4 linked regions of the Caenorhabditis elegans genome follow. The protein of the gene in region 3 purifies or fractionates together with the protein of the main gene of each other region. This does not show direct contact. Each region holds a gene or a part of one and is shown on either strand. Other genes may lie near its edges.

Evidence for each region.
Region 1: the proteins of pugs-8 (region 3) and epg-5 fractionate together in Caenorhabditis elegans (co-fractionation; one large-scale study listed by BioGRID). This does not show direct contact.
Region 2: the proteins of pugs-8 (region 3) and K10G4.3 fractionate together in Caenorhabditis elegans (co-fractionation; one large-scale study listed by BioGRID). This does not show direct contact.
Region 4: the proteins of pugs-8 (region 3) and taco-1 fractionate together in Caenorhabditis elegans (co-fractionation; one large-scale study listed by BioGRID). This does not show direct contact.

Annotation. Positions count from the first base shown.
Region 1 is NC_003280.10:6,605,301-6,612,982, reverse strand, and holds the start of epg-5 (Ectopic P granules protein 5), read left to right. Parts: upstream 1-3,617; 5' UTR 3,618-3,626; coding exon 3,627-3,740; intron 3,741-3,790; coding exon 3,791-3,852; intron 3,853-3,901; coding exon 3,902-4,001; intron 4,002-4,047; coding exon 4,048-4,305; intron 4,306-4,351; coding exon 4,352-4,955; intron 4,956-5,005; coding exon 5,006-5,139; intron 5,140-5,190; coding exon 5,191-5,578; intron 5,579-5,633; coding exon 5,634-5,692; intron 5,693-5,741; coding exon 5,742-5,818; intron 5,819-5,864; coding exon 5,865-6,157; intron 6,158-6,204; coding exon 6,205-6,329; intron 6,330-6,372; coding exon 6,373-7,097; intron 7,098-7,144; coding exon 7,145-7,682.
Region 2 is NC_003283.11:17,261,773-17,267,842, reverse strand, and holds K10G4.3 (uncharacterized protein), read left to right. Parts: upstream 1-2,887; 5' UTR 2,888-2,889; coding exon 2,890-3,042; intron 3,043-3,095; coding exon 3,096-3,266; intron 3,267-3,492; coding exon 3,493-3,777; downstream 3,778-6,070.
Region 3 is NC_003281.10:11,363,036-11,370,005, forward strand, and holds pugs-8 (Cystatin domain-containing protein), read left to right. Parts: upstream 1-3,718; 5' UTR 3,719-3,754; coding exon 3,755-3,838; intron 3,839-4,983; coding exon 4,984-5,196; intron 5,197-5,248; coding exon 5,249-5,314; 3' UTR 5,315-5,398; downstream 5,399-6,970. Other genes in the region: T28D6.4 (Nephrocystin 3-like N-terminal domain-containing protein), read left to right, coding at 1-355, 867-1,336, 1,883-2,338, 2,700-2,999; tba-7 (Tubulin alpha chain), read right to left, coding at 5,399-5,528, 6,315-6,829.
Region 4 is NC_003281.10:280,211-290,876, forward strand, and holds taco-1 (Transcriptional regulatory protein), read left to right. Parts: upstream 1-3,906; coding exon 3,907-4,116; intron 4,117-4,768; coding exon 4,769-4,897; intron 4,898-5,054; coding exon 5,055-5,288; intron 5,289-7,198; coding exon 7,199-7,432; intron 7,433-8,940; coding exon 8,941-8,991; 3' UTR 8,992-9,253; downstream 9,254-10,666. Other genes in the region: xpd-1 (General transcription and DNA repair factor IIH helicase subunit XPD), read left to right, coding at 74-261, 430-526, 1,245-1,350, 2,424-2,663; Y50D7A.13 (Peptidase metallopeptidase domain-containing protein), read right to left, coding at 9,254-9,329.

The sequences.
Region 1 (7,682 bases), on a different chromosome or scaffold from region 3:
AATAAAACTTTTCTAAATGAAAATATAAAGATCCATTGACATTATTCCGAACTTACTTATTTATCGAATAATTTTCAAAATTCCAAAATAGAATATTAATTTTTAGTGTCGAAATGACTTGAACTTTTTATCACTTCTTCTTTCTATTTCCTCTTTTCAGATGCCGACATTTCTACATTTAGACAACACGAGAAAGTAATATTTGTGCATGATCATCACACATTCAACAACAGACAGGCATACAAATTTTACGTGCGTATAGATGCCCACAGACTGATAAATGATCGAAGTTTGAGGTGGAAAATGTAGTGATTCGTTAAATTGCAACAGAATGAGTCCGTGAATAAAAGAAAACCGCAATCAGTTGAAAATTTTGTCAATGAGCATGCGGCTTCACGAGGAGACAGCATGCTATATTGAATTTAATAACTAATCTTACTATGTTCTTAAATTTGAAATTACCAATCGAGGGAATATACTATATTTGGAAATCAAAAAATACAACAGTTTAATTTTCTACAGTTTTTGAAATATATAATAAAAATCAATAGAAAACGATCCAACTAATAATTAGAAGTTGCGCGTTTTCTTTTTGCTTTTTCTCAAACTCTACGTATTTTTTGTTAACTCTTTTAACAAACCTTTGGGCCATTTTAGGAAAATTAATGACAAATTCCCACAAGTTGCACCCAGATTCAAATACCTAATGACTTTTTGGCCCGAGAATGATATTATAAATTTACCGCATTCACCAAGAGTTTAGATTATGCAATTTTTACAAGCTAAAGGTTTCTATCACAATTCTTGAATTCATGTAGGGTAATTATAAGAAGTGATTCTCTGTAATGGTATACATTCCTTTAATAAAGCTACCGAACAAGAAAATATAAATGTTCCTCTGGAATCCAATACTGTGACACATGGTTCTACTGCTATAAGGTATTCAATGCCTCAGCAAAACATCATAGGTTACTGTAACACGGTTTGAGTCCACTGGGCCAATGAACAAGTATTTCAACGCGGCAAGCAGAAAAAAACATCTAAAAGACATTGGAGTACGGTATGCCAACGGGCGCTCTCAATTTCTCAAAAGCAACATTTAGTTGATTGTTGCGGGCGAACCGCTCACCTCGAAATGTGGCGAGTAATGTGATTCAATGGCTGAAATAGTGAGCGATTGGGCGAGACGGGGTGACACATAGTGTGTGTTCGAATGAAGATGTTGGAAGATTGTGAAGAGGGACGGGATTCTGATTGAATATTACACCATCTCAAGAAAAGGTTTCATTCTTTTCTTTTTCCAGAGGCACAGATAGAGAGCCAATTAAGACGAATCGATTCCCATTTATCATTATTAAGTGGTACTGTGAAGTGTCGATGCAATCATTAGTTCATGAGATCATCACATTTAGAAGAAATACAATTGGGTGATAATTATAAAGAAACTGATTAGAAGGACACTTTTTCAGGTAATATTAATTATCAATTTTACGTCTGGGAATTAGAACTCGAATCGTTTCATAAACATTAAAAAAAAAGAACATTGCTCTATTAAGAAATACATCATCATCTTCCATATGATCGCAACATTCTAATCTTTCCTTTCTCGTTCCAATTTTTTGTCAAAGGGACAATTCGCCGTCCCGACCAAATCTTACACTCACAAAGTGCCGCTTCCTCACGAAAAAATGCGCGAACGTCTCTGTCGATTAATCATTGCTGAATAAACTTTGTTTGGGTTGTCTTGTACGGACACACTTTCAGGCGGTAGATCATATCCTCAAAGAAAGCGTGAATTGTAGATGCCAGGTTTTTGATGAACAAATAAAAATTTATGAATTCCTTCGGATGGGGTCTTTGATGAACATAAATTAAAAGGGAGAAGCATGCTGAAATGAAAGTTACCATTTTTACAAAATTGCTTCAAAATTAGAACTGGATGTATTATTTAAACAAGCTTCCGGTGTTTGAAGAATTATTCATATTATTTAAATTTTAAATTAACTAGTTCAGGTTTTTTAATCCTTTTATATAATTGTCAGAAACTGTCAGGTTGCCCCACGTTCCAAATTTGACTCAAGGAAGGTAAAAAGACACTTGAATCTGGTACTAGAGTCGTTTTTGTGCCTATGTGAAAGACTATTCTTGGAGCTCTTCTTTCAAACATTTCGTGCATTTCTGCCAGAATTGTTCTGAATTCTGAAATCATTATGTACAAACATCTTTATCAAAATATTATCTTCATGTGATACGAAGCATGTCAAACTTATCTCCTGTAAAACGTTATCCAACTGTAGTCCAAACCATTTACCTACAATACAGTAACCAATTTCTTCAGACTAAACGCTTTCTAATGGTTTGCTCATTGATCGTCTCTCATTTGAATTGATATCCTGTTCAATTCAGATTCAAAATCTCATTAATCTCATGTCCGGATGATGTGGCAGATAAGCGAGGAAATGTTTCAATTGCGCAAGGACAAATCAACGATAAACTCATGTGTGAGTGTGCGAATTGAACGAAGAAATTGGTTTGGCAATCGTAGAAATTCACACTAACTGTCTATTAATTACCTGTCAAAAGTGTCTGGTTTCTCTCACGTTTTGTGTACTTTCTCGTAGATAAACCGTTTAGAGATTTGAAACATTCATTCACACTCCTAAAACTAACCAATGGACATTAAAAAATAAAGTTGCGATTTGGGAAAAAGGGATTTGCTTTTGGAAACTACAAAAATATTGCTCCGTGACATGATCCAAAAATATATAAATTGGAATGCTCCACGTAGTTTTTAAATATTAATGATAAACCTTATTTTTAATTTCAGCATTAATTTCAGAGATTGGCAAAAGGTGAGAGGCATTATTAAAAATAGCCTTCAAATGTTATTAGGTTTTCACAAAAGTAAACCATGTTGTTTCTAGATTTCGAAATTCATAAGATCTCGTTTGTTTCAAATCTACTATTCACGAAAACATAACGTATGTTGCAGACCATTCCCAGAAGGAAAAAACTATGAAAAAGAAAATATGTTTTTCTTTCGATTGTTTCCGAAATAAAATCCATTTTCAATCTAAGTTCCTGTTATAAATCATGTAGACATTGACGTTGAAATAGCAAAATGCTTGCACATCGTTTTCTTATCATTTCTCTTCTCGAAGCATTCTAACTATAAATTTATTTGTTTTTCAGTGTCAATGTCGTTATATTAAAAAAAAAATCATGGGACATTTTGTAAAAACTTTTTCAAAATAATAAATGTTCTCATCGAATCTATACTATAGTTATCAACTGTTCTCAATCGGTAGAGTGCTCGGGCTCCCGATCGATTTCACAAAAATGGTTTGGTCCGCAAACACGACGACGGACATTGCGTATTTGTCGTCATTTTCCCTCTTCACGTGCTGTGTTCAGTTCAATTCGGGTTTTTATTTGCCGTCAGACCACTTTTTTTCGTGACTCATACTAAAAAATGCAGAAATAGAGCAATTTATCCTGCTATACAGATTTTTTATATTTTCTAGTTGAAATCCTCGACTATTGAATTAATTTGTTGACTTCGTACTGTACTTGTCGCATTTCTTTTTATAAGAAAAATTAATAAAATATATTAATTTAGTTTCAAAATGGCGGAATTGGTTCGTCCAAAAAAGCCAAAACATCGAGAGCGAGCACAAAGTGATTATACACCCCCAATACCAGATCGTCCTGCAATTGTGAATGGTTTGAGACTCCCTGCGGTAATAACAATACCACTAAACTTTTTGTTTCATATTGATTTTATTTTCAGGCTCCATCACATACTATTGAGGATTTACCAGAAAGATCAGCATCACCGGAACCTGAAGATCAGTAAGTGGTAAAATAACGATTGAACTGAAAAATATGTATACGTTTCCAGGGATATAAGCTTGACCGAAGATTCCTTGAAACGCGAAGAAGCATCTGAACCTTTAAAAGATGTGAGAAGTAGTCCAGTTCGACCAGCCCCTCCACCACCAGTCAGTTGAAATTCTAAAACTCAAAATATGAATCATTTGTTTTCAGCGTGTTTCTCAAGAAAGAGAAGCTCCACCAATTCCTCCAAGAAGTATGATCTTTCCACGAAGTACCAGCATGGTTGCTGAATCTAGAAAAGAATCAACTACAGCGGTAGCACCAAAACGGAGTGTAGCAGTTGCTTCATATCCAGCTGTCCCCGAACTAGCCGAACTTCCATCCTATACTGATGCGCTTCAACATCCGCAAGTGTATCCTTCAATAAATGGAGGACTTCAGCATTCACACTCAGCTACTGCCATTCCAGTAAGTATTTAATCTGAAACCTTATTATTTTTCTTTATTTTTGTAGGAAAAAACACGATTTTCTGCACCAGTTGAGAGAGAGCGTGTACGAGAGGGAGAAGCTCCTCCGATGTATCCATCTATCAAAACTTACGAACGGAATGAACATGGTTTAATGACTGAAGAAAACTTGGTCACATTCTACCATAATCCCCTTTATGAGCACGCCGAAATGTTTGTTGATCAGTTTATTAAAACTGAGGAAGTACCAACTCAATCTGGATCTTTATTTCCACTCTTAGCTAGACTAAGAACAGTATGTGACCTAATGACTGTTAGTGAAGTGAAAGGAAAAGAGAATACAGAAGAATTGCAAAAATGTTTACGAGAATGTTGGGTTCAACAATCTCTTTCTGTTGATGCAAAAGGAAAATGTGGAGACAACAATGATGGTACAGGTAGAGCATCGTATTTTTCTTTTGAACTGCAACAGGCAGTACTGGATCAAATGAAGAAACTTCTCTCTACGAATCGAAGCAATCTGATGGATCATTCAGTTTGTGAAGAGACTTCGTTTAGATCAATTGCTCTACAAATTCAATGGCAGGTTATTATTATCAATAATAATTTCATGGCTGAAAACGGGTTGTCTACAAATTGTCCACCCAGTTGTGAGTTTATTATTTCAACAGCTTACTAGTTGAATATGAATGTATTTCAGTAATTGCCAGTGTACCTATGACACCGGGTAGAGTTGCTCTTCGCACTGCTCTTTCAGACATATTCTATCATCTTCGGTATCCAAGACTTTCAAAAAGATTTATAGATACACTTGTTGGATGGATCAAAGAATTGGTAAATCATTTCAAGTTCGTAATGTAACGTTTATGTAAAAAAATGTTTCAGACATGTGTGTTGAATATGCGTCAATCATGCGACGACGGTATATTCCTCCTTTGCCACCTTTTACGTCTTCCATCTCCAATTGATCAATGGGCTTCTCCATTTGTACAAACCTTCATTCAATCACAATCTGCTCCAAAGTTGAAGCTTGATTATTGTGTTGCACTTCTCACTCATCTCCTCAACCCAATCAAAGCTCGAGAATCTTTCCTTCGCCATGTTGCTCAATCTGAAAAAGAGGAGTCAACTTGGGAGATTCTTGCAGATGACGATGACGGTGAAGCAAATGAGTTTTCATTTGTCACAATCAACGAATCAGATCTAACTGCATTCCTTGATCAATTTCCGATTTCTGAGCTTTATTCAATTGCTTATCTTGCTTTCACTTCATGTAAGTTTCAAGTTGCAATTGTAAACTTAGACCGTTCAAATTTTCAAATTTTCAGACTCTGACAAAGGATCTCAATTTACTGCTATGATTGCATTCCAGCTCTTGCTCATGAAAGTAAGTATAGTAATATCTAAATTTATGATAGAAACATTGAATTTTTAAGATTCTTGATAATGGTTTGACAAGTTATTCTCAACCCGGATATAAAATGTTCTGTAAGCAAATTGGAATAAGTCTCAAGTGAGTTTGTTATCCTTTGGCTCCTAGATAATGTGTTTTCTTTCAGGCACAGCGTTCGGGAACTTTGCTCCAATTGGCGACTTATTCGAGATCAAGTTCGACCAGGCGAAGAGCATCATCTTCAGAAAGAAGTAGATCGAGTTGTACTTCTAGCTCTAAATTACTTGATTCATCAAGACACCCTTGGATTGTTCCAATTTGTGGTGTCGTTACCATATGCTGTGGTTTCCGAAGAATGTAGAAGCCGATGTGAATATGCTTTAAGATCGAATAAGAAAATGTCTATTCACGAGATTTATGATACACCAATTTGTGAAGTACGCGCCAGGATTAGTAGTCGTCAGTTTCTTTAGAGTAAACCAAAATAATAAACATATTAATTTCAGAAGGAATTTCAAAACGAATAGGTGCGCTTGGAGCTCAGGATTCAGAATTTCTTGTCAACTCATTGGCCTCAATTGGATCTTATTCAAATTCGGATGTTTCGCAACTTTTGAAAGAGCTTATTGATGTGAGATTGAACATTTTTAACTAAAAACTTTACATTTTTGCAGGTTTGCTTTTGTGATGAAGACACTCGAGATGATTTGTATAAATGTGGTGGTGAAGCAATTGGACAAATTCTTATAAAAAGACCTGAAACATTGCATCAATTGCTCACTATTATTGATCGAAATCTTCAGCATATGGATTCCTATGCAATCAATGTTTTATCATCATCACGACTTTTCGAATGTCGATTAACGGAACCAATGATAAGCATCATAGGAAAATGGCTCATTAATAATCCTCCAGAACACGGAGCAAATCGTCTTGCTCGGCGAGTTCTTTCTGGATTGCATTGGGGATTGGCTGTTGATGGTCATAACTTGTGGATTGATGTAGATGTGCACACAATTGCAGCAGATACTGTGGTCAAGGCTCATTCTGTTCATTGTTCACGTTCGAATAGTATGATATCAAAGTCTATAAATAAGATATCAAAACTCGCTTCAAAAGTTGGAGACGCCGAATCGTTGTTCCAGCAGTTTTGTTGGGACCTGCTCGTAAAGCTCAAACTTCCAACGATACCTTCCTCATTGGTTCAAAATGATCTAACAGCACATTATGTGAGGATAGTTCAAAATTGTGAAGATGATGTGGTTGTGTACTTGGAAAAAGGAGTTCCTCTTCTATCGGATTTAGTAACATCTGGAAGTTCAGTGGCTTCTGTTGTTTTACTTTCAAGACTTATTGCTCAACATTATCAGAATGTGAATTTGATGGCTGCTGATAAAAAGTAATTTTATGCAAATTTAAAATCTAATCGTTTGACTTAATTTTCAGCTTCATGACAACATTCGAACGTCTTCTACACATTGATCAACTTCCATATGCAGTTCAATGGCTCAGTGGACCATCATCGACGCCGACTCCTATCGTGAAGCTTATATGTTCAGCAATTTCCTACTATTCTGCAAAGTTACCTCCTAGAGATTATCTGCGTGCTTGGATCACACTACTTTGTGCTGCAAGAACTGGCTGGAATGAGGATGCAGTTACATATCAAATAGTGGGAACTATTGCTCGTATTGCATTTGTTAATGATACCCACAAACTCTACGAAATAACTGGTATCATATTTCAAGCTTATCAACAGCAACTCGCAGCTGAAAAGAACCAATCAAAGGGTATTATGTCTATGTTTTCATCCGACAATACAGTATCCCCACTTATTCCTGATTCGATGCTATCGATTTCTCCGTTTGCATCGTATGTTATGCTTCGAGTCGAACAAAAGTCATTCAACACTTTTTATGGACATTTTTTCGAAACTCTTACGAAAAAGGATAAGTATACACTGGATAATGCTGTGAAGAAAGCA
Region 2 (6,070 bases), on a different chromosome or scaffold from region 3:
TCTGATAGAGCTCAAGTTAAAAAAAAGAGAGCTATTTATCTTTATTCCTTTGTGTTTTTCCGAATTCCTACAGTCTAAATGTATACGAGATTGTGTGAACTATGGTCTTATCAGTAGTTTGAAAAATCAGAATTCGAGAATTTTCTCTAGTTTTTTAATGAACTCGGGGAAAAATCAATATTTCCCTTCACCGACAAATTGCATACGCTGAATAAATGTTTGAAGTCTTGTTTGATTTTGTTTCGACTGAGGAAACTGATAACAGAGCAACTACCATATTTCGAAATATTTTGGTTTAAAACTTGTTGGTTAGACTGCTATCATCATTAGTTTTATACAATTCAATTTATCCTCGCAGTCCGCTAAAACATCCTTTTTGCATTAAACTCAAATCATTTGCTTCATAAGGTAAATTTCAAAATTTTCGTTTTGAAGTAGAGTCCTTTAGTTTTTTGCTTCAAATTATCAAATGTGGGTCGCAATGTCCGAATATAAATGTTAAAAAATTATAGAACGCTCATAAATTTTTAATTATTTTTTTTTATTTTGCAACAAAAAAAATTAGAAATGACTGAAATTTTCGACTTATTTTAAATTGCAGCGCAAACGTGTATAACCTTTCGTTTTTGCGTTTTCTGACAAAATTCATTAGTTTCTTTTTCTGATTTTTCCTTAAAAAATTGGTTGTCTAACGAAAATGCCTCTTCTACGCACTTCTACACTGTTTACCTTTTATATTTTATTACTTTTAACATCATAATGTGACATCATAATGTGAAATTTTCGTTTTGAAGTAGAGTCCTTTAGTTTTTTGCTTCAAATTATCAAATGTGGGTCGCAATGTCCGAATATAAATGTTAAAAAATTATAGAACGCTCATAAATTTTTAATTATTTTTTTTTATTTTGCAACAAAAAAAATTAGAAATGACTGAAATTTTCGACTTATTTTAAATTGCAGCGCAAACGTGTATAACCTTTCGTTTTTGCGTTTTCTGACAAAATTCATTAGTTTCTTTTTCTGATTTTTCCTTAAAAAATTGGTTGTCTAACGAAAATGCCTCTTCTACGCACTTCTACACTGTTTACCTTTTATATTTTATTACTTTTAACATCATAATGTGACATCATAATGTGAAATTTTCGTTTTGAAGTAGAGTCCTTTAGTTTTTTGCTTCAAATTATCAAATGTGGGTCGCAATGTCCGAATATAAATGTTAAAAAATTATAGAACGCTCATAAATTTTTAATTATTTTTTTTTATTTTGCAACAAAAAAAATTAGAAATGACTGAAATTTTCGACTTATTTTAAATTGCAGCGCAAACGTGTATAACCTTTCGTTTTTGCGTTTTCTGACAAAATTCATTAGTTTCTTTTTCTGATTTTTCCTTAAAAAATTGGTTGTCTAACGAAAATGCCTCTTCTACGCACTTCTACACTGTTTACCTTTTATATTTTATTACTTTTAACATCATAATGTGACATCATAATGTGAAATTTTCGTTTTGAAGTAGAGTCCTTTAGTTTTTTGCTTCAAATTATCAAATGTGGGTCGCAATGTCCGAATATAAATGTTAAAAAATTATAGAACGCTCATAAATTTTTAATTATTTTTTTTTATTTTGCAACAAAAAAAATTAGAAATGACTGAAATTTTCGACTTATTTTAAATTGCAGCGCAAACGTGTATAACCTTTCGTTTTTGCGTTTTCTGACAAAATTCATTAGTTTCTTTTTCTGATTTTTCCTTAAAAAATTGGTTGTCTAACGAAAATGCCTCTTCTACGCACTTCTACACTGTTTACCTTTTATATTTTATTACTTTTAACATCATAATGTGAAATTTTCGTTTTGAAGTAGAGTCCTTTAGTTTTTTGCTTCAAATTATCAAATGTGGGTCGCAATGTCCGAATATAAATGTTAAAAAATTATAGAACGCTCATAAATTTTTAATTATTTTTTTTTATTTTGCAACAAAAAAAATTAGAAATGACTGAAATTTTCGACTTATTTTAAATTGCAGCGCAAACGTGTATAACCTTTCGTTTTTGCGTTTTCTGACAAAATTCATTAGTTTCTTTTTCTGATTTTTCCTTAAAAAATTGGTTGTCTAACGAAAATGCCTCTTCTACGCACTTCTACACTGTTTACCTTTTATATTTTATTACTTTTAACATCATAATGTGACATCATAATGTGAAATTTTCGTTTTGAAGTAGAGTCCTTTAGTTTTTTGCTTCAAATTATCAAATGTGGGTCGCAATGTCCGAATATAAATGTTAAAAAATTATAGAACGCTCATAAATTTTTAATTATTTTTTTTTATTTTGCAACAAAAAAAATTAGAAATGACTGAAATTTTCGACTTATTTTAAATTGCAGCGCAAACGTGTATAACCTTTCGTTTTTGCGTTTTCTGACAAAATTCATTAGTTTCTTTTTCTGATTTTTCCTTAAAAAATTGGTTGTCTAACGAAAATGCCTCTTCTACGCACTTCTACACTGTTTACCTTTTATATTTTATTACTTTTAACATCATAATGTGACATCATAATGTGAAATTTTCGTTTTGAAGTAGAGTCCTTTAGTTTTTTGCTTCAAATTATCAAATGTGGGTCGCAATGTCCGAATATAAATGTTAAAAAATTATAGAACGCTCATAAATTTTTAATTATTTTTTTTTATTTTGCAACAAAAAAAATTAGAAATGACTGAAATTTTCGACTTATTTTAAATTGCAGCGCAAACGTGTATAACCTTTCGTTTTTGCGTTTTCTGACAAAATTCATTAGTTTCTTTTTCTGATTTTTCCCAGCGTGCTTTTTTTCAATGATATCGATAATTACCTTATTGCGAAATGAAGTTTTTGAAATTTTTTGATATTTCAGATGCATTTACGCGACTTGGATATCTTGATAAAATTAACAAAGCATTGGATGACTGAGGAACTAACCGATCATATGAGCTACAACAGAGCCATCGAATGGGATAAGCTCATTATTAAACTTGAAAAAGTTCCAAAAAAACTGTCTCTTAATTCTGTAAGTTGTTTTCTTACGATTTGCTCGTTATAAAGATTTAACTTTTCTTTCAGAAAAAGTATTTAGCAATCCTTGTTGATGAATTCTGCATGGATACGCCAAGATACGGAATTAGCCCCTGGTTTGCTCACTACATCCTATGCTATTGCAAACATAATCTGGACGACGCTCGCGAAATATTAATCGCCAATAAGTGGAAATTGGAAAATATTGAAGAATCTTATGTGAGTTTTTATAATTTTATTATGTGCGAAAGGAAAAATGGGTTGAATACTGGATCGGTTTTACTGTTAGACCTACCAATCGGCGCTCAAAAAAAAAAACGAAAAAAACATATTTTTTTTTGAACGCACCGTTTTTATTTTAAAAATACTCCCTTTCGCATTTGAAACAGACGTTTCTCCACTTTTGATTCTTGCAATTTTCGCAAAATTAATGTGATTTTTTCAGGAAAAAATTTCCGAATTCCAAAGACAACTAGACTTGAATCGTAACAACCAAAACAATGACAAAATTTATGAAGCCATTAAAAAAGAAAAAGAAAAGATCAGGAAGAATGTCTATGAAAGAAATGAACAGTTGCGAGACTTTAAGAACATTCCATACGGATTCCAGCCAACCTTAGAACTTCACAACCTTATGCAGGACCAGATTGAGGATTTCATCGAAGAATATCTTGGACAGTACTTGGAAAAACTTGGAAAACTTGGACTTGGAAAAAAATACAAAGGTTAGTTGCATTTATAAACATATGAAATAATTTCAATATTAAAAATTAAAGTCTGGTCGTAAATAAATCTAAAAAGGGTGCGCAATGAGTAATAGTTTCTGTTAAAAGATTAAGAATTTCCTGGGTTTGAAGTTTTAGAAATTCAAGCTTACTAAACGTTTCTAATTTCGTACTTTCTTCTTATTCTTAATGTCTTAAGAGTTTTAATTTTAGTTTTTGATTCGTTGAAATAACCTTTTAGTAAAAAAATATAAGTAAACTTTAGACAGCTCTGATAGAACATTTTATTGACCAAAAGCGACCTAGGTCTCACGATGCTCAAAACGCAAAAAAAAAAACGAAACGTGTCTCAAGAATCAATTATTTGTCGCGTAAAGCCTTTTGATTATGTAATACTTACAGAAATTACAACCATAGTTGGCAAAGGCAGTAGCTCACTAAACCAAGTTCCAGTAATAAAGGAAAAAGTGATGGCGATCTATGGAAGAAGAGTCCGCGAACACTCCAGCAACGGAGGCATACTTTTCTTCACAATTTAATACTTAAAAATCACTTTCAACCTTTAAATATTCATTGCTAAATCAAAACTTAACGTTTCTCCAATTTTACCGACTCCAATTTTACCATAACGATAAAAAAAATTAAAATTTTGAACCAATAATAATTAAACAGTCGAAATTAAACAACAAAAAAAACAAAATTTCGAAACATCCCCTAACTTGTATAAGCCCCACGTTCCCAGTCGCCTTATTTTCATTTTATTGTACGTCGCCTCTTCTCGTAAACTCTTTCTTTGTTTCACTTCCCCACCCAAGTTGAACCGCTGAGGATTAAATCTGAGCTAGTTTAGTTATTGCCTATTCAAATTTGATTGATCAATGCAATTTTTGTTCCCGTTGTTTAGTTGTATTGTTAAATATTAATTTTTATGTTTTTAATTTAAATTACTTTGTTTTTATTCACCATCATAATTTTATCGCCCACTCTTTAAGTTTTCAGCACTTTTTAGGTTTCTTCTTTTTTATATTTCCTGGCGAGTTCCCAGTGGGGATATCCGTATTTATTGTCAAAGTTTCCGTCTACAAGCACTTTTAAATTCTCAATTCGCTTGTCACCTCATTTCGTGTTGCACGAAAAAAGGTTGGCGTATTCCTTGTTTCCTTTGCTGGAACGTTTATCGTGTACTTGCTTGAAAATTTTGTCAATACTTTTCATATTCTTCTCTATGTTATATTTGATTTTGTTTCTACTTTTTTTTGCTTTGCATTAGCACTTTTGTGTGCAACTTCTCTTTATATTTTAAGATTTTGTCCAAATAAACATTATTTAAATTGAAATATTGTGTTCTCGTGTTTATTTTCAGAATTTTTCGCATTTGTCAAGAGAATATACAGACAAGAAGCAAACGTAATACAGGCACGTGACAAGCGTGAAACATGCACATGGTAGGTCTGACGCAGGTATGCCGGTTAAAGGTTCCTGGTATTATCTGAACCATATTACAATTTGTATTTAAACATTTTCCGATATAAAAAGTCATACAGATACATAGATTGGAATATATATTTTGTGTTTTGCTAATAATCTAAAAACCTTTGCTCATTACGTTTGTTTTGATGACAAGCATGATGATGCATATTTTTGAAATACCTTGTCTGAAAAAACATATGTAAAAATGCTTTCGGTGAAACTGAACGTATAACTGAACGTCCAATTTCATATAAAACGAACAACATACTTCTAAAATGCCGAACGGCGACTCAGAATATTATGACTACGTTGGTTTTGAGGATTTAGATGGAAAAGAAAAGATGTTTTGGACTTCTATCATGAATTTTGCCAGGTTTGTACTTTTTTTATCCCAAACCCCAAATTAAAGTCAATTTCTTGCAGCAGGTACAGTTTATACCTTGATCATGCCAGTCTTGTAATTGCGACATTTGGATTATTCGGCAATATTTTCCATTTAGCAGTTCTCACTTGAAAATCGATGAGAAACTCGTCAGTTACAGTATTCTTAATCGGAATCGCAATTTGTGACTTTTTTCGTATGACTTCCACAGTTGTCTCACTTTCTAAAATGTGTTATGATGAATTTTCAACGCTGGAAATTTCAGACAAATGGTAAATTTTGGAAACTAATCACTTTTAAACTCTTGTAGAGGATTTCAGTGTTCCGCCACAATCATATCTTGAAATGTCAATTTTTCTAGCCTTGAGTTCATTAGAAATGCTTTCCTCAGACTTGTCAGTTTGGCTTGCAGTTTTTATGACTTTTTTTCGTGCTCTGGTCATGCG
Region 3 (6,970 bases):
GCCTGTTACGGACAACTCGAGATCCTTCACCTTCTTCTAGAGAAAGGTGTCGACGTTGATGAATGTGGTCACAGTGATCGAACGGCTCTCCGAGCAGCCGCCTGGTCTGGCCAGCTCGCCGCAGTTCAGCTTCTCCTGCAAACCGGCGCTGAAGTTGATCGGAGGGATTCTGAGCAGCGAACCGCACTGATGGCAGCAGCATTCATGTGTCATAAGGATGTGGTGTCAGTTATTATTCAGTATGGAGCTGATGTAAATGCCATCGACAAATCCGGAGCCACCGCGTTGCACTTGAATCTTTCAAATGGCTCGAAACAAGAAGAAAACTCTGAAACAACAAAATTGCTGTTAGAACGTAAGGATTTTTAGCCTCGTCCCATTTTTTCTTTTTCAAAAAAAAATTTGACGGGAATTTCTAATTTTTAAAGATTTTTTCTATCGGGAATCAACAATTGTTTTTGGAAAAAGAGAAGTTCAAATTTTTGAGATACTATAGCGGAAAATTGAAATTTGTGGTCAAAAATTTTCCGGAAAATTATAATTTTTTAACAAAATTTTTGGCGGGGAATTCAAATTTTTTGAGAAAAAAATTGGGGGAAATTCAAATTTACGGAGAAAAATTTTCCTGAAAATTCCAGTATTTAAACATAATTTTTGGCGAGGAATTCCAATTTTAGAGAACATATTTGGGGGAAATCCAATTTTTCCCAGAACAAGTTTTGCGAAAAGTTCAAATCATTGAGATATTTTAGCGGATAATTGAAATTTTTTGGTCCAAAATTTTTATAGGAAATTTGGGAGTTTTCAGGATGTTCCAAAAACTTAAAAAAAAAATATTTTTTACAATCTACAATAAAATCTTACAGACAACGCGGACTGTAAAATTGAAGATGCCAACGGCCGCGTGGCCCTGCACCTGGCCGCCTACCACGGGGACCCCTGCCTCCAATTGATTCTTGAGAAGCACCCCATAGTTGACGTCATGGATAATATGGGACAAACTCCATTGATGTTAGCTGCTAGTCAAGGTCAATTGGAAGCTGTTCAGTTTTTGACAAAAACCGCCAAAGCAGACGTAGATGCTATCGATAACAATGGGCGAACTGCTCTTCAATGGGCGGCTATTAATGGTCACCCGGAGGTGGTAGAGTTCTTGTGCTCAGTTGGATCGGATGAGGGACATAAGGATAATGATGGTGCAGTGGCTCTACACTATGCTGTTACCCATGATCATGTGGAGCTGGTAAAGCATTTGACGAATCAGCATACGGTAGAGGCAAAGGATCGATATGGACAACATCCGATGATGATTGCGGCGGCTAATGGAAATTTGAAGGTAGGAAAATCGAATAAAATTGTTTATAGAAAATTCAAAAATTTAAAAAAAATTGCAATTTTGGGGGCCAAGTTCAAAATATTAAAAAAAAAATTAAAATCAAAGTTCCAGAAAACTTGTAAAAATTAGGTTCGAAAAAGTTTTTTATTTTTCGAATTTATGCTCGATAAAACGATAAAATGCTGCAATTTATTTTCAAAAAAAAACACATTCTAAAATTAATCCAAAAAATTTGGCGCGGAATTAAAAACTATAATAAAACTTGTTGCAAAAATTTGAACATGTTAAAAAATATTCTAAGAAATTCAAAAAATTGTTTATAGCTTTCGAAAGCACGTGGTGTCAGGCTGTCCCATTACGGTTTGATCTACAAAAAGGCGGGAATTTTTCGCCCTAAAAATGTGACGTCAGCACGTTCTTAACCATGCGAAATCAGTTGAGAACTCTGCGTCTCGTCTCCCGCATTTTTTTGTAGATCTACGTAGATCAAGCCGAAATAAGGCCTCTTGCTCTGTAAGGTCACCAAACAACAATGTATCTTTTCAGGTCCTGGAGTACCTAATGGGGATCTCCGACATAATCAACCAACCTGACCACGAAGGTCGCACTGCCTTATCCCTCGCCTCAATGGCAGCTCATACCTCAATAATCGACTTGATATCCCCTCGCATCACTGATTGGAGCCAACGGGACCACGATGGCACCCCACTAGCCCACACCCTAATCCTCTCCAATCTGATCTTCGTGGCCGAGGTTTATCTAGGCCATGGTGCCAACTCATCCGACTCGGATGCTCATGGCCGAACTTGTGTACACGTGGTCGCTTCGACGAATGACGTGGCGGCAGCGAAAATGCTGAAGAGGATTGGTGGAGTAAATTTTGAGGCAGTTGATAGAGGTGGGCGTACAGCTTTGATGACTGCAGTTTGGGCGAAACACGTGGCGATTTCGGTGTTCTTGTTGGATAGTTGTGGAGTTGACCCGAATCGAACGGATCGACAGGTATGTTAACTCACTAGTCCTACAGTACCCTAAACTACAGTAGTCTTAACCTACTGGCCGTAGTTCTACAGTAACCCTAAGATATCGTAACCCATAAACTATAGTTTGCTTAGCCTAAAACAATCATGTCCAACTAAATAAGGATCATGTATACAATACCAGTATCCTACCATATTATCACAGAGTCGCTAGAGTATAGTATCCTCTGCTTACTGCAATCCTTCAGTACCCCTGAGCTACAGTAGCCATTATTGTATAACAGAACTGCTAGAAAATAGTAACCTTAATCCTACAGTAGCCTAAGGTACTGTTACCAACAGTAAACCTATCATTCTAGATAAGATACAGTACCAATTTCCAGGGTGCCACTGCTCTCTCCATTGCCGCGCAAATCGGCGACCGCGATCTTGTCAACCTGCTCCTCAAATTTGGCGCCGAACCAGAGATCAAAGACTCTATGGGACGAACCGCCATGGATGTGGCCATGATTTCTGGCAACGAGCCAATAGTTTCTCTGCTCCAATCTGTAAATGGCTCATCCGGATCATCTGGAATTGGCTCAAGTGTCCCCAATAGCCCACTCGACGCCAGTAAACAGCGTATCCTGAAAGCCACATCATCACTGAGAATGCCTCATAGAATTGATAATAATAATCATTGATCTCATATTTTCTTTGCTGAAAAAATAGTTTTTTTTTGGAATTTGATCTTTATTAACCGGTGCTTTTTTGTATGTCATTAACTCGGTCACAGTTTTTTTTCGAATTTTTACCCAAAATCTTTCTCATATTGTCAGTATTATTATTGAAAATTAATAATAAACATTCACTGAAAGCTAAAAAAAAAGTAACATTTTCAATTCTCGCAATTTGCCGATTTGCCGGAAATTTCAATTTCGGCAATTTGTCGAAAATTTCAATTCCCACAATTTGCCGCTTGGCCGGAAATTTTCAATTCTGGCAATTTGCCGGTTTGCCGTTCCTCAACAAGAAACCTGACTCTATCCAATTTCCTCCAAAACTACAACCAACGGTCACTCCCATTAAGAAACCCCATTCAGACCGTTAGTTTCAATAAACCTGCGACCAAAAAATGAAAAACCGTAACCGGTTTCCACCAAATGGAGCTCATCTGAAGCTAATTAACTGGAAGAAAAAAAAATTGAAAAGAGACAGCGTTAAAGACAACGTTCTAATATGATAAGAGACAGATATGAGCTAGTTTAGAACACTGGCGCCAGCAGCAGCAACCGGAGGAGAAGGAAGAGAAAAGTTTCCGTTTTTTTCTTGTCTTCAAATTAAACGGTTTCGATCTTTCGTCTGACCTGACCTGAAAGAAGGGTCTTGTCCATATAAAAAGGAACTTTTGATGGCCAAATGCGCTCAGTTTTTTGTGTCAGTCCAAAACTACTTAAAAATGTTCAAGATCCTCCTAGCCCTTTGCATTGTTGGATGCTCATTTGCTGCACCAATTCATGGAGATGTTGACGATGAGCTTTTGGTGAGAATTTGATTTTTTTTTGGTTTTTTTTTCGTAACATTTGCCCACCGCCACCATTTATAGGTCATAGAAGTTTGCTTAGTTTTGCTTTGAACACTTATAACTTCCTGAATAATCACGATACCAAAGAATTGTCAACTGAAAAAATGTAGCAAATTTTATTTTCTACAATTTTCTAGTTGACAACTTTTTTGTACCTTATTTTCCTGTTTAGATAGACACGCTAGAAGTTTGCTGACTGTAAGAGGAACGCGTATAGCTTGGAAAATTCATAGGCTATGAAAAAGATGTCAACTAACAAATAGTGGTGCTGTGAGGGTACGGTAGGATTACTGTAGGAGTGATGTATGGGTACTGTAGGGGTACTGTAGGATAGCTGTAGGATTACTGTAGTGGTACTGTAGGAGCAATGTAGGGTGTTCATAGAATTACTGTAGGATTACTGTAGTTGTACTCTGAGGAGGGGGGTACGGTAGGAGTGCTGTAGGATTACTGTAGGAAAACTGTAGGACTAAATGTAGGAGTACGGTGGGGGAGTAGGGGAACTGTAGGATCACTTTTGGAGCAATGCAGGGTGGCCATAGGATTACTGTAGGGTTACTGTAGGATTACAGTAATAGTACTGTAGAAATACTGTAGGAGTACTTTACGGGTAGTGCAGGGTTACTGTAGGATTTTTGTAGGGCTACTGTAGGGGCTACTGTAGGATTACAGTAATTATTGTGTAGGGATACTGTAATAGTACTGTAGAAATACTGTAAGAGTACTGTAGGATTAATGCAGAGGCACTGTAGGGAGAGCTAGTGGTACTGTAGTGGTGCTACAAGATTACTGTAGTTGTACTGTAGGGTTACTGTATTTTTGGTTTTTTTTTGAAATAAGTCTCAGAATTTTTTTTGGCTGGCGGTTCCTTAAAACGGGTATACCTTGGCGAGTTCGTAAGCCATCAAAAAGTTGCCAGCGGGTAAAATGTAGCAAATTTCATTTTCCACCACTTTTTAGTTGACAACTTTTTGGTATTTCGCTCTCCCGCTTAGGTACAAGCTTTTGAAATTTGCAGACTGAAAGCTAACTTACCCCTGTTACAATTTAAAAATTCTTGTAACTCGGAAAATAAGCAAACTTTAAAAATTTGTCTTCTACAGGGCCTCGCTTGGGAAGCCGCCGCCACCAGCGTCAACAACGGCAACCGCGGGAAGTTCTGGGTACCCATCGAGATCCAGAGCTCGGATAAAAATGGAGCAGTAACAAATCTCGTCGTGGTATTCCAAGAGTCGTGGTGCAGTGTTGAGGAGGGAAATGATCTCGAGGATGTGTGCGAATCTATGTGCCCAGTATATTATGGAGGAGCTAAGGCTGTGAGTTTTATTTTTATGGAGAGCTCTTAGATTTTAAGCTTCGGAATTTCAGACATATCGTGTCACGGCTACCGAATCCAACGGGGGAAGTGATTTCGAATCTGTTAGAATTGAATAGAAAATGCTTTAATCTATCTTTTGTCAGTTAATTTGTACATAATCAATAATCACCTAATAGCTTTCCAATAAAAAGTTTTATTTTTCAATACTCATCATCCCCATTATCATTAGCATCGGAATCCGCGCCAACCTCCTCATAATCCTTCTCCAAAGCAGCCAGATCTTCACGTGCCTCGGAGAACTCGCCTTCCTCCATTCCCTCGCCAACGTACCTGGAACAAAGAGGTGTTTTGACAAAGAGGTGTTTCGACATTTTACGGGTCATGCACTGGGCTGCTGGGCAGCCGACATTAAATAGAAGCGCGTATCTCAGCTTTGGTCTTGTAAAACCCTATGTAACTCCACGATGAGCAGAGCTATCAAAAAGTTGCAAACTTGAGAAATATTTAGAATTTAATTTTCTTCATTTTGCTAGTTGACAACTTTTTGCTAACTCTATTCTGAGCTGTTAATTGCGGTTTGAAGTTGAGGCATCACTCCCACAGCTCCCTCATGCTTTCTCTAACTTCAAACTTGCTTAACTCGACAGTGAAAAACGTTATCAAAAAATGGTCAACTAACAAAATGTTTAAAATTAAATTTTCTCTATTTTGCTAGTTAACAACTTTTTGATAACTTTATTCTCAGCTGAGTTATAAACGTTTGAAGTTACGGCAACACTTCCGCAGTTTTGTCTAACTTCAAACTTGGTTAACTCCGCGGTGAAGAAAGTTATCAAAAAAATTTCAATTAAGAAAATATTTAAAATTAAATTTTCTATAATTTGCTAGTTGACAACATTTTGCTAATTCTATTCTCAGCTGTGTTATGATAGTTTGAAGTTGAGGCAACACTTCCGCAGTTTTGTCTAACTTCAAACTTGGTTAACTCAGCGGTGAAGAACGCTATCAAAAAATTGTCAACTAACAAAATATTTAAAATTAAATTTTCTATATTTTGCTAGTTGACAACATTTTGCTAATTCTATTCTTAGCTGAACTATGAACGTTTGAACTCACCAATGCACAAAAGCTCTCTTGGCATACATCAAATCAAACTTATAGTCCAATCTCTGCCACGCCTCCGCAATTGCCGTAGTATTCGACAACATACATACCGCCCGTGGAACCTTTGCCATATCCCCACCCGGGATTACTGTAGGCGGCTGATAGTTCAATCCAACTTTAAACCCAGTCGGACACCAGTCCACAAACTGCACGGATCTCTGAGTTTTGATCGATTTTATCGCAGCCGACACATCCTTCGGCACAACGTCTCCACGATACAGTAAACATACAGCCATATACTTCCCGTGCTTCGGGTCACATTTTACCATTTGATTTGAGGCTTCAAAGCAGCTTTTCGTTATCTCATCAACTGATAGGAACTCGTGGTGGGCTGAAGAGATCAGTGGATTGTAGGCGACAAGGGGGAAGTGGATTCTCGGGTAGGGGACCAGATTGGTTTGAAATTCGTTTAAATCCACGTTGAGAGCACCGTCAAAGCGTAGAGATGCCGTGATGGAGGAGACTACCTGGAAATTTTTTTATTATTTTCATAAAAAATTCGTTTTTTTAGTTAAAAGTACTGTGGGTTACTATAGTGGTACTATAGCAGTACTGTAGGATTACTGTAGGGGTGCTACAAGAGTTCCGTATGGGTACTGTAGGATTGT
Region 4 (10,666 bases), about 11 Mb from region 3:
CCTATGCCCAAATTTTCCTTTTTTTTTCTCGAGCTGAATATATAATTTTGATAAAAGTTCCAATAAATTTCAGGTACGAACAGCACATAATCGATGAGCTAATGAAGTATAAGCTACTTTTCATTGAAACCAACGATGCACTGGAAACCTCGGCGGCACTTGAAAAATACGTGGAAGCTTGTGACAGTGGACGTGGAGCTGTGCTCTTTTCAGTTGCACGGGGAAAAGTTTCAGAGGGAATTGATTTTAGCCATCATTTGGGTGAGATTTCGAGCGGAAAATTTCGATAAAAATTGGCTCTAAACTGCGAAAAATGTGCAATTTACACTCAAAAACCACGAAAAATTATTAAATTTTAGCAGATTTTCAGTGAAAATCACTGAAAATCTCACATTTTTCAAGAAAAACCGAAAAATTTCAATTTTTCAGGTCGATGTGTTATAATGCTTGGAATTCCGTATATGTACACCGAGAGCCGAGTACTCAGAGCCCGGTTGGAGTATTTGAGAGATCAATTTGGAATTAAGTAGGAATTTTCTACAGTTCAAATGAGAATTTCAGCCAAAAATTCAATAAAATCGCGAATTTTCACCTAAAATTCAATTTCCAAGAACTTTCCGGGTTACTGTAGCACCAAAAGTACGCAAACACCGTCTAGCGCACCAAATTTTACGACAATATGCAGAAAATCCCTATAAATCGAGTTTCCGGAATTAAAAATCACGAGAAACTCGAATTTTGTGCATTTTCAGTCAATTTGGAAGTTTATGGGTTACTGTAGCTCCAAAAGTACGCAAACACCGTCTAGCACACCAAATTTTACGACAATATGCAGAAAATCCCTATAAATCGAGTTTCCGGAATTAAAAATCACGAGAAACTCGAATTATGTGCATTTTCAGTCAATTTGGAAGTTTATGGGTTACTGTAGCTCCAAAAGTACGCAAACACCGTCTAGCACACCAAATTTTACGACAATATGCAGAAAATCCCTATAAATCGAGTTTCCGGAATTAAAAATCACGAGAAACTCGAATTTTGTGCATTTTCAGTCAATTTGGAAGTTTATGGGTTACTGTAGCTCCAAAAGTACGCAAACACCGACTACCGTATCCCAGCGCGCACCAGATTTCACGACAAAATTTGCAAAAAAAAAGCTTCAAAACAAATGAAATTTTAACATTTTTTGGAGTTTTTAGTGAAAAAATTGCCTAAAAACTACCAAAACTTGATGATTTTTCCAGAGAAAATGATTTTCTGACATTTGACGCAATGCGACACACTGCTCAATGTATGGGACGAGCTCTCCGTTCGAAAACTGATTACGGATTGATGGTATTTGCTGATAAGGTATAAAATAAAGAGATTTATCGATTTCCCGAAAAAAAATCAGAAAAATCAGAAAATTCTCGATTAAAAAATCACGAAATTTAACCAGAAAAAGTTGTTTGAAAATTTTTTGGCAATTTTTCAACAAAAAATGTGTCCATTTTGTGGGCGTGGCATGAGAATTTGAAAAAAAAGCTAAATATTGATTTTTTTCACTGGAAAATCAGAACACTTTGAAATAATTTGCACAAAATTCACTAAAAAACCTGAAAAGCTAAGCAAGTTTTTTTTCCATTTTAGCTGCAAAAAATATTCAAAAAAATTTTTGGATTTTGGTAGAAAAATTCCACGATTTTTGTTAAAAACATATCGAAAGTTCACTAATGTTCATAGTTTCAAACTGATTTTTTTCAGCTTGAAATGCGCTGAAATTCTGATGTACCATGTGGCAAATGTGCTATGTCGGCGATTTTTGTGCGGAAATATCAAATTTTAGCATTAAAATATGCAAAAATTTGGAATTTTCACCCGAAATTGCTCACCGGGAGCACATTTGACCACTTTCCCGGGGAACCTCTGCCCAAATTTTCATTTTTTTTTTGGACGGAAAATTCGGAAAATGATTTGAATTGTAGAGATACTCTGAAAAAATCTGAAATTGGCTGAAAAAAATAGCGGAAAATTGAAGAAATACGAAGAATTTCACCAGCTGCCCAATTTTCTGAAATTTTTATTAGAAATCTGCCAAAAATCGCAAAAAATATAGTTTTTCGTCCCCAAAATTGAAAATTTTCGCTTAAAAATGCGAAATTATTTTCAAAATTCAAAATTTTGAAGCTTTGAAAAGTGACCATATAATGGGCGTGGCTTGTGATGCTCCGCCCATTTTTCTAGAGAATTTGAAAAATATTTTCCGTGGCAAATGTGTTATGTCGGTGATTTTTGTGTGGAAATTTCAAATTTTAGCATAAAAATATGCAAAAATTTGGAATTTTCACCCGAAATTGCTCACAGAGAGCACATTTGACCACTTTCCCGGGGAACCTCTGCCCAAATTTTCCATGTTTCCCCTCAAAACTTGTAATTTTCTTCAGAGATTCTCCCGAAACGACAAACGTGGAAAATTGCCCCGCTGGATGCAGGAATACCTGGAGCCAGCTTGTACCAATCTGAGCATTGACGAAGCGGCACAAGTTGCCAGGCGTTGGCTCACACTAATGGCTCAGCCATTCGAAAAGGAGCATCAGCTGGGTGTTTCGTTGTTGGATAAGGAAATGGTTCACGATTCGCAGATTATGAAGAGATTTGAACGTGTTGTTGAATATGTTGATTAGATTTTTTTTTTGATTTTTGAGCTATTTTTCATGGAAAATTTGTAAAAATTTGAGAAAAAACCGTGAAAAATGAGTGAAAAACAAAAAAAATCGCTAAAAATTGATATTTAAGCCAATTTTCAGTGAAATTTCTCAAAAAAAATCAAATTTTTGGGTTACTGTAGCCCCAATAGTACGTAAACACTAAAATTCCCGTTCTTCAGTAAATTTTCGCAAAAATTTAAGTTTTTTGGGTTACTGTAGCTCCAAGAGTACGCAAACACTGTTATGGGCGTTTTTCAGTGAAATTTCTCAAAAATCCGAATATTTTCGGGTTACTGTAGCTCCAAGAGTATGCAAACACTGTTATGGGCGTTTTTCAGTGAAATTTCTCAAAAAAAAATCAAATTTTTGGGTTACTGTAGCCCCAATAGTACGTAAACACTAAAATTCCCGTTCTTCAGTAAATTTTCGCAAAAATTTAAGTTTTTTGGGTTACTGTAGCTCCAAGAGTACGCAAACACTGTTATGGGCGTTTTTCAGTGAAATTTCTCAAAAATCCGAATATTTTCGGGTTACTGTAGCTCCAAGAGTACGCAAACACTGTTATGGGCGTTTTTCAGTGAAATTTCTCAAAAATTCGAATATTTTAGGGTTACTGTAGCCCCAAAAGTACGCAAACACTGAAATGCGCAATTTTCAGTGAAATTTCTCAAAATTTTCGAATTATTTGGGTTACTGTAGCCACAAAATTACGCAAACACTACAATGTCCGTTTTTCAGTGAATTTTCTCAAAAATTCGAATATTTTTGGGTTACTGTAGCCCCAAAAGTACGCAAACACTGAAATGTGGAATTTTCAGCGAAATTTCTGAATTTTGACCGTAAAATTGAATTTCTTAATTTAAAATTAATTTAAAATTTAAAATTGCTAATTTTCTAGATTTTTCACTGGAAAATGCTCTTTTTTTTTCTCATTTTTTCCATGGAAAATCTCAATTTTTCCCCGATTTTTTATTAATTTTCCCTCGTATTTTACCATATTTTACCAGTTTTCCTCCATTAATTTATTAATTTTTTTTTGAAAATGTTCTCAATTGTATCTCATAATTTTCGTTCTCCTTTTGAAAAAAATCACCGGTTTTTCAATTTTTTTTCCGATTTTCAGCCAATTTTCGGTTTAAAATGGTAGTTTTTACCTGAAAATATCGATTTTTCCGGGATTTTTCCCTTGAAATTTCAAAATTCCCCCAATTTTTTGCAGATGTTCTCCCCGCTCCGTCGGCTCACCACAACGGGTCTCCAGCTCCAGAAGCTTCAGAAATTGCAGAAGCTCCAACAATTTCAGCCGGCGAGAGCTGTGCATTTGACGGTTTTTCAGCAGAAGGGGCACTCGAAATGGCAGAATATTAAGGCGGTGAAGGGAAAAAATGATTTGATTCGGTCGAAGGCAACCAACTTTTTACTCAGAAAGGTAGGTTTTCGGGTTACTGTAGGACCAAAAGTACGCAAACACCGAGAAAAGCGAATTTTCGATTAAAAACCATGAATATCCAGCGATTTTTAGTACGGTAGCACCAAAAGTACACGAACACTGACTGCCGTACCCCAATACACCAGATCTCACGGAAAAATGCAGAAAATCCAAATAATTGGGTTACTGTAGACCCGAATGTACGCAAACACGGACTACCGTAACCCAGTACACCAGATCTTACGGAAAAAAACAGAAAATCCGAAAAATTTAGGTTACTGTAGCCACAAAAGTACGCAAACACCAAGATTTTACGATTTTTTTGCAGAAAAATTGACAATTCCCATCAGATTTCTCAAAAATACAAGATTTTGGGTTACTGTAGCAACAAAAGTACGCAAACACGGACTACCGTAACCCTGTACACCACACGTTACGACAAATTGCAGAAAATCCATAAATTTGGGTTACTGTAGCCTCAAGAGTACGCAAACACAGACTACCGTACCCAATACACCACACCTTACGAAAAAAAGCCGAAAATTTCAAAAAATTAGGTTTTCGGCGTAAAAAGTACGAAAAAATGGAGTTTAAATACGAAAAATTGAAATTTTGCTCAGAAATTCCTAGAAAAAGCGATTTTTTTTTCCAGGTCCGTGGAGCAGTATCTCGTGGCGGGTTCGACATGAAGCTCAATCGAGAACTCGCTGATTTGGAGTCCGAATTCAGAGCACAAGGACTTCCACTGGACACGTTGAAGAACTTTTTGCAAAAAATGAAGGTATAATAGTGAAAAAATGAGGAAAAATGATGAAAAATCGCAGAAAATGCAATTTTTTTCGCAAAAAAGAGTGAAAAAACTTGATTTTTAACCTAAAAACCGCAAAATTTTGTCTATTTTTCCACAAAAACTCCAAAAATCCCCCGAATTTTTGCAGGACAAGCCCGAAGTAGAATACTCGTTCGATATCATTGGACCATCTGGAATATTCCTTATCGTAACCGCCGAAACTTCGAACAAAAAAGCGTTTGAAAACGATTTACGGAAGTATTTCAACAAGTTGGGCGGTTTCCGGTTGGCAGCTGATGGTGGTGTTCGTAGTTGGTTCGAGGAGAAGGGTGTTGTGCATGTTGACACGAAAAAAGGCGGAAAAATTCTGAATATTGAAGAAGTACGGGCGATTTTATGCTGAAATTCTGTTTTTTCCTGAAAATTTGGAGCTTAACGGCGTTTTTTTTGGAGTTTCTAGGTCAATTTTGAGGTTTTTTGCGTTACTGTAGCTCTAGAAGTACGTAAACACTAACCAGGCACCGAATCTTACGACAAATTGCAGAAAATCTAAGAAAATTGAAATGTTTTATCCAACTAGGTAGAAACGTACTTAATAGTGAAGAATTTGGGTTTCTAGCTCAATTTTAAAAAAGTCCGGGTTACGGTAGCCCCGAAAGTACGCAAACACCGATTAGGCACAGAATCTTACGAGAAATTGCAGAATTTATCTGAATTTTAATTTTAATCGGCTAATTCTTACCTGAAAGCATTTTTATCTAAGGTTTTAGCTTAATTTTGAGGTTTCTTGGGTTACTGTAGCTCTAGAAGTACGCAAACACCGATTGGGCACTGATTCTTACGACAAATTGCGGAGTTTGCTCAAATTTTGAATAATGCTCTTTTTTCTCCTTCCTGGTAGCATTTTTATCTGATATTTCAGCTCAATTTGAAATACCCGGGTTACTGTAGCGTCAGAAATACGCAAACACCGGCTTGGATACGACAAATTGCAGAATTTATATGAATTTCAATTTTAATCGGCAAATTTCTGCCTGGATTCCTTTTTATCGGAGTTCTAGCTCAATTTTGAGATTTTTCGGGTTACTGTAGCGCCAGAAATACGCAAACACCGACTAGGCGCCTAATCTTACGACAAATTGCGAATTTTTTTGTAATTTTGACTTACGCGGCTTAATTCAACCTGAAACCGTTTTTGTCTGAGGTTTTTGCTGAATTTTGAGGTTTATTGGGTTACTGTAGCTCCAGAAGTACGCAAACACCGATAAGGCACCGAATCTTACGACAAATTGCAGAATTTATTTGAATTTTAACTTTAATCGACTACGTTCTGCCTAAGATAATTTCTATCTGAGTTCTAGCTAAATTTCGAAATTATCCGGGTTACTGTAGCTCTAGAAGCACGCAAACACCGACTAGGCATCATATTTTACGACAAATGACAGAAAATCTCGCAAAACGAGGTTTCCAGAGTGAAAAATGACAAGAAACACGATTTTTTCTATAAGAATGCGCAGTTTTTCAGCTGAAACTAGATTTTTCTCGAAAAAATCTTTAAAAACTTAATTTTTGGGTCAAATTCGCTGAAAATGCGCGATTTTCTCAATAAAAATTGGCAAAGAATGAAAAAAATTCAGTTTTTCACGTAGAAATTGAGAATTTTCGTTCAGAAACGGGTTACTGTACCGTCAAAAGTACGCAAAACCGACTACCGTACCCCAATACAATACACCAAATCTCACGGAAAAATGCAGAAAATTTCTAAAAATCGGAGGTTTTCGGCTTAAAAGAACTAAAAAAACGGAAAAATCTCAGTTTTAGACTGAAAACTCAAAATTTGTGACTGAAAATTGATTTTTCGAACGGTGATTTTGAGGTTTTTTGGGTTACTGTAGCTCTAGAAGTACGCAAACACTGACCAGGCACCGAATCTTACGACAAATTGCAGAAAATCTAAGAAAATTGAAATGTTTTATCCAACTAGGTAGAAACGTACTTAATAGTGAAGAATTTGGGTTTCTAGCTGAATTTTGAGGTTTATTGGGTTACTGTAGCTCTAGACGTGCAAACACCGATTAGGCATCATATTTTACGACAAATGACAGAAAATCTCTAGAAATCGGCTAGCTGGGGTGAAAAATAACGAGAAACACGATTTTTCGACTGAAAATTGATTTTTCGAACGTAAAATTTATTTTAAAACAGCTCCCGGCGTGATTTTCACCAGGAAAATCGGTTTTTAACTCGAAAATTAGTGAAATTTTGGATTTTTCATCGATTTTTGTGTTTCAGATGGAAGAAATCGGTCTGGAATTCGATGCTGAAGAGGTTTTACTGATTGAAGAGGACTCAACGAAGAAATTCGAACTAATTTGTGATGCAAAATCACTTCAAACTCTTGAAAACGGCCTCGGAAAGGGTGGATTCTCGATTTTACAGTCGGAAATTGAATTCCGACCTGTTCATCCAATTGATTGTCCTGAAGCTGAGGAGCCAAAGGTTCAGAAGTTGTATGAAATGCTTCAGGTACTGGAAAAACTAAAAATTCCGGGAAAAACTCGAGAAAAAACTAAGATTTTTGGACAAAAAATCAAAAAAAAAATTGAAAAAACCGAGAAAAATTGCAGAGAAAGTTGTAGAAAATTCCGTAATTTTTTAAAAAATTCAGAAAATTTAAAAACTTAAAAAAATATATTAGACAATTTTTTTATTCCAGAAAATTCAAAAAAATATTCCGGAAATTTTCAAAGAATTCAGAAATTTTAAAAAAATTTGAAATTTCAAGAAATTCCACAAATTTCTTTAAAAAATCCAAGAAATTCTAAAATATTTCAAAAATTCCAAAAAATTACAAAAAATTGCAGAAAATTTCTAAAAAATTCGAAAATGTGTTGAAAAGAATGTCAAAAATGAGAAAATTCAAAAAATATCTCAACAAATTCGAAATTTTCCAAAAAATTCCAAAAAGATTTCAAAAAATTTCAGATATTTCTAAAATGCATCAGAAAATGTTTTTTTTAATCAGAAAATTCAGGAATTTTCCAAAAAAATTCTTTAAAAATTCCATATATTTTCAAGAAATTTGAGAAAATTGTAACAAATTCCAGGAAATTCCTAAAAAAAATGTTTGAAAATAAAAAAAAAAGTTCCAGACAATTTCAAAACTTTTTCAAAAATTCCAGAAAAATTAATAAAAATACAGAAAATTTAGAAAAATTCTGGAAATTCCAAAATTTTTCGAAAGATTTTTGGAATTCTATGGTAATTTTTTGAAATTTTCCAATTTTTGACATTTTTTCAATACATTTTCAATTTTTTTCTGAATGTTCTGAAATTTCAGAACATTCCTAAAAAATGTCTGAAATTCTGAAAAGTTCAAACATTCAAAAATATGTTCGACAATGTTTTTTCAATTCCAGAAAAAATTTCTAAAAAGAATCAGAAATTTTTCCAAAAAATATAGGAAATCTCAAGAAATTCCAGAAATTTTCTGAAAAATCCGCTAATTTTCGCAAAAATTCCAAAAAATATCAAAAAATTCCATGAAATTTCAAAAAATTCTAGAAATTTTTTTTTTCAAGAAGTTCAGAAAAAATTTCTAAAAAATTCCAGAAAATTTCCGTAAAAAATCTAAAAAATTTCAAGAAAATTCGAATTTTTTTCATTCCAGAAAATGTTTAAAAATTCCAGAAAATTTCAAAAATATCAAAAAATTCCATGAAATTTCAAAAAATTCTAGAAATTTTTTTTTTCAAGAAGTTCAGAAAAAATTTCTAAAAAATTCCAGAAAATTTCCGTAAAAAATCTAAAAAATTTCAAGAAAATTCGAATTTTTTTCATTCCAGAAAATGTTTAAAAATTCCAGAAAATTTCAAAAATATCAAAAAATTCAAAAATGAGAAATTTTCAATAAATTCCAAGAAATTACAAAAAATTCCATAAAATTTCAAAAAACTTCAACAGTATATCAGAAATTTTCAAGAAATCCAGAATATTTCGAAAATATTTGAGAAAATTTGTATTTTTTATTTCAGGAGGACGAACAAGTACGCCAAATTTTCGACAACATCACACCAGACGAGTAGCCGATTTTTTTCAATTTTTCATTGAAAAAAGCCGGAAAAGCGGAAAATTTCCATTGTTTTTTCTCTATTTTTAGTCGTTTTCCCATCAGAATTCCATTTTTTAAATCTTTTATTTTATTTTATTTATCAGTTCAATAGATAGGATTCCCGCATTTCTTGTTGTTTTATTGAGTTTTTATTGATTTTTTAAAATTGAATTCCACCTGTTTTTTTTGTTAGTATAAAGCTATAATTAAAAAAAAAAAACTGAAATGTCCATATTTTATTGTCCATACAGCTTCCGAATTGCTCGAATATCGTATTTTGACAATTGAATTTTTCCGATTTTTGCTGGTTTTCTGTAATTTTATACTTTTTTTTGGGATTTTTGGGGTAATTCTTTAGAAAAATTTGATTTTTTGCACCAAACTTTTTGAAAAAAGAAAAACTTTCTAGAAAATCTGACAGCAAATTTCAAATTCTGGCATTTTTGAGCTGAAAACTCTGAAAAATTCCATCGAAAATACGAAATTTTTGGAAAAATCCCAAAAGGTCAGCTTTTTTGGGCTGAAAATAATTTTTTTTAAATAAAATTTGAATTCAAAAATATCCGGCCGAAAATCGATAATTGCCAGGTTTTGCAATAATACCAAATTTTTCCCAAAAAATGGTACTGTAACTCTTTTCAGCGGTGGACGGCAATTTTATTTTACGGAAAATCGGCAAGAATTGACGATTTTCGATTCCGGCAACTTGCCGATTTGCCAGAAATTTTTGATTCCGGCAATTTGCCGATTTGCCAGAAATTTTCATTTTTGGCAATTTGCATATTTGCCGGAAATTTTCATTTTCGCCAAATTTGCCGATTTGTCGGAAATTTTCGATTCCGGCAATTTGCAGATTTGCCAGCAATTTTCGATTCCGGTAATTACCGATTTGCCGGATAATTTAATTCCCTGCAAAATGCTGATTTGCCAGAAGTTTTGATATTCGGCAACTTGCCGATTTGACGGAAATGTTCATTTTCGGAAAATTCGCCGATTTGCCAGATATTTTAGTTTTCGGCAAATTGCTGATTTACCAGAAATTTTCATTTTCGGCAAATTACCGATTTGCCAGCAATTTTCGATTCCGGCAATTTGCAGATTTGCCGGAAGTTTAAAATTCCGCCAATTTGTCGATTTGCCGGAAAGTTTTAATTCCGGCAATTTTCCGATTTGCCCGAAATTTTCAATTCCGCCAATTTGTCGATTTGCCGGAAATTTTCAATTTCACCAATTTGCCGATTTGCCAGAAATTGTCAATTCCGGCAAGTTACCAATTCGCCGGAAATTTTCAATTCAGGCAATATGCCGATTTGTCGGAAATTTTGAATCTCCGCAATTTGCCGATTTGCCGGAAATTTTCAATTCCGGCAATTTGTCGATTTGCCGGAAAGTTCTAATTCCGGCAATTTTCCGATTTGCCCGAAATTTTCAATTCCGCCAATTTGCCGATTTGCCGGAAATTTTCAATTCCGCCAATTTGCCGATTTGCCGGAAGTTTAAAATTCCGCCAATTTGTCGATTTGCCGGAAAGTTTTAATTCCGGCAATTTTCCGATTTGCCCGAAATTTTCAATTCCGCCAATTTGTCGATTTGCCGGAAATTTTCAATTTCACCAATTTGCCGATTTGCCAGAAATTGTCAATTCCGGC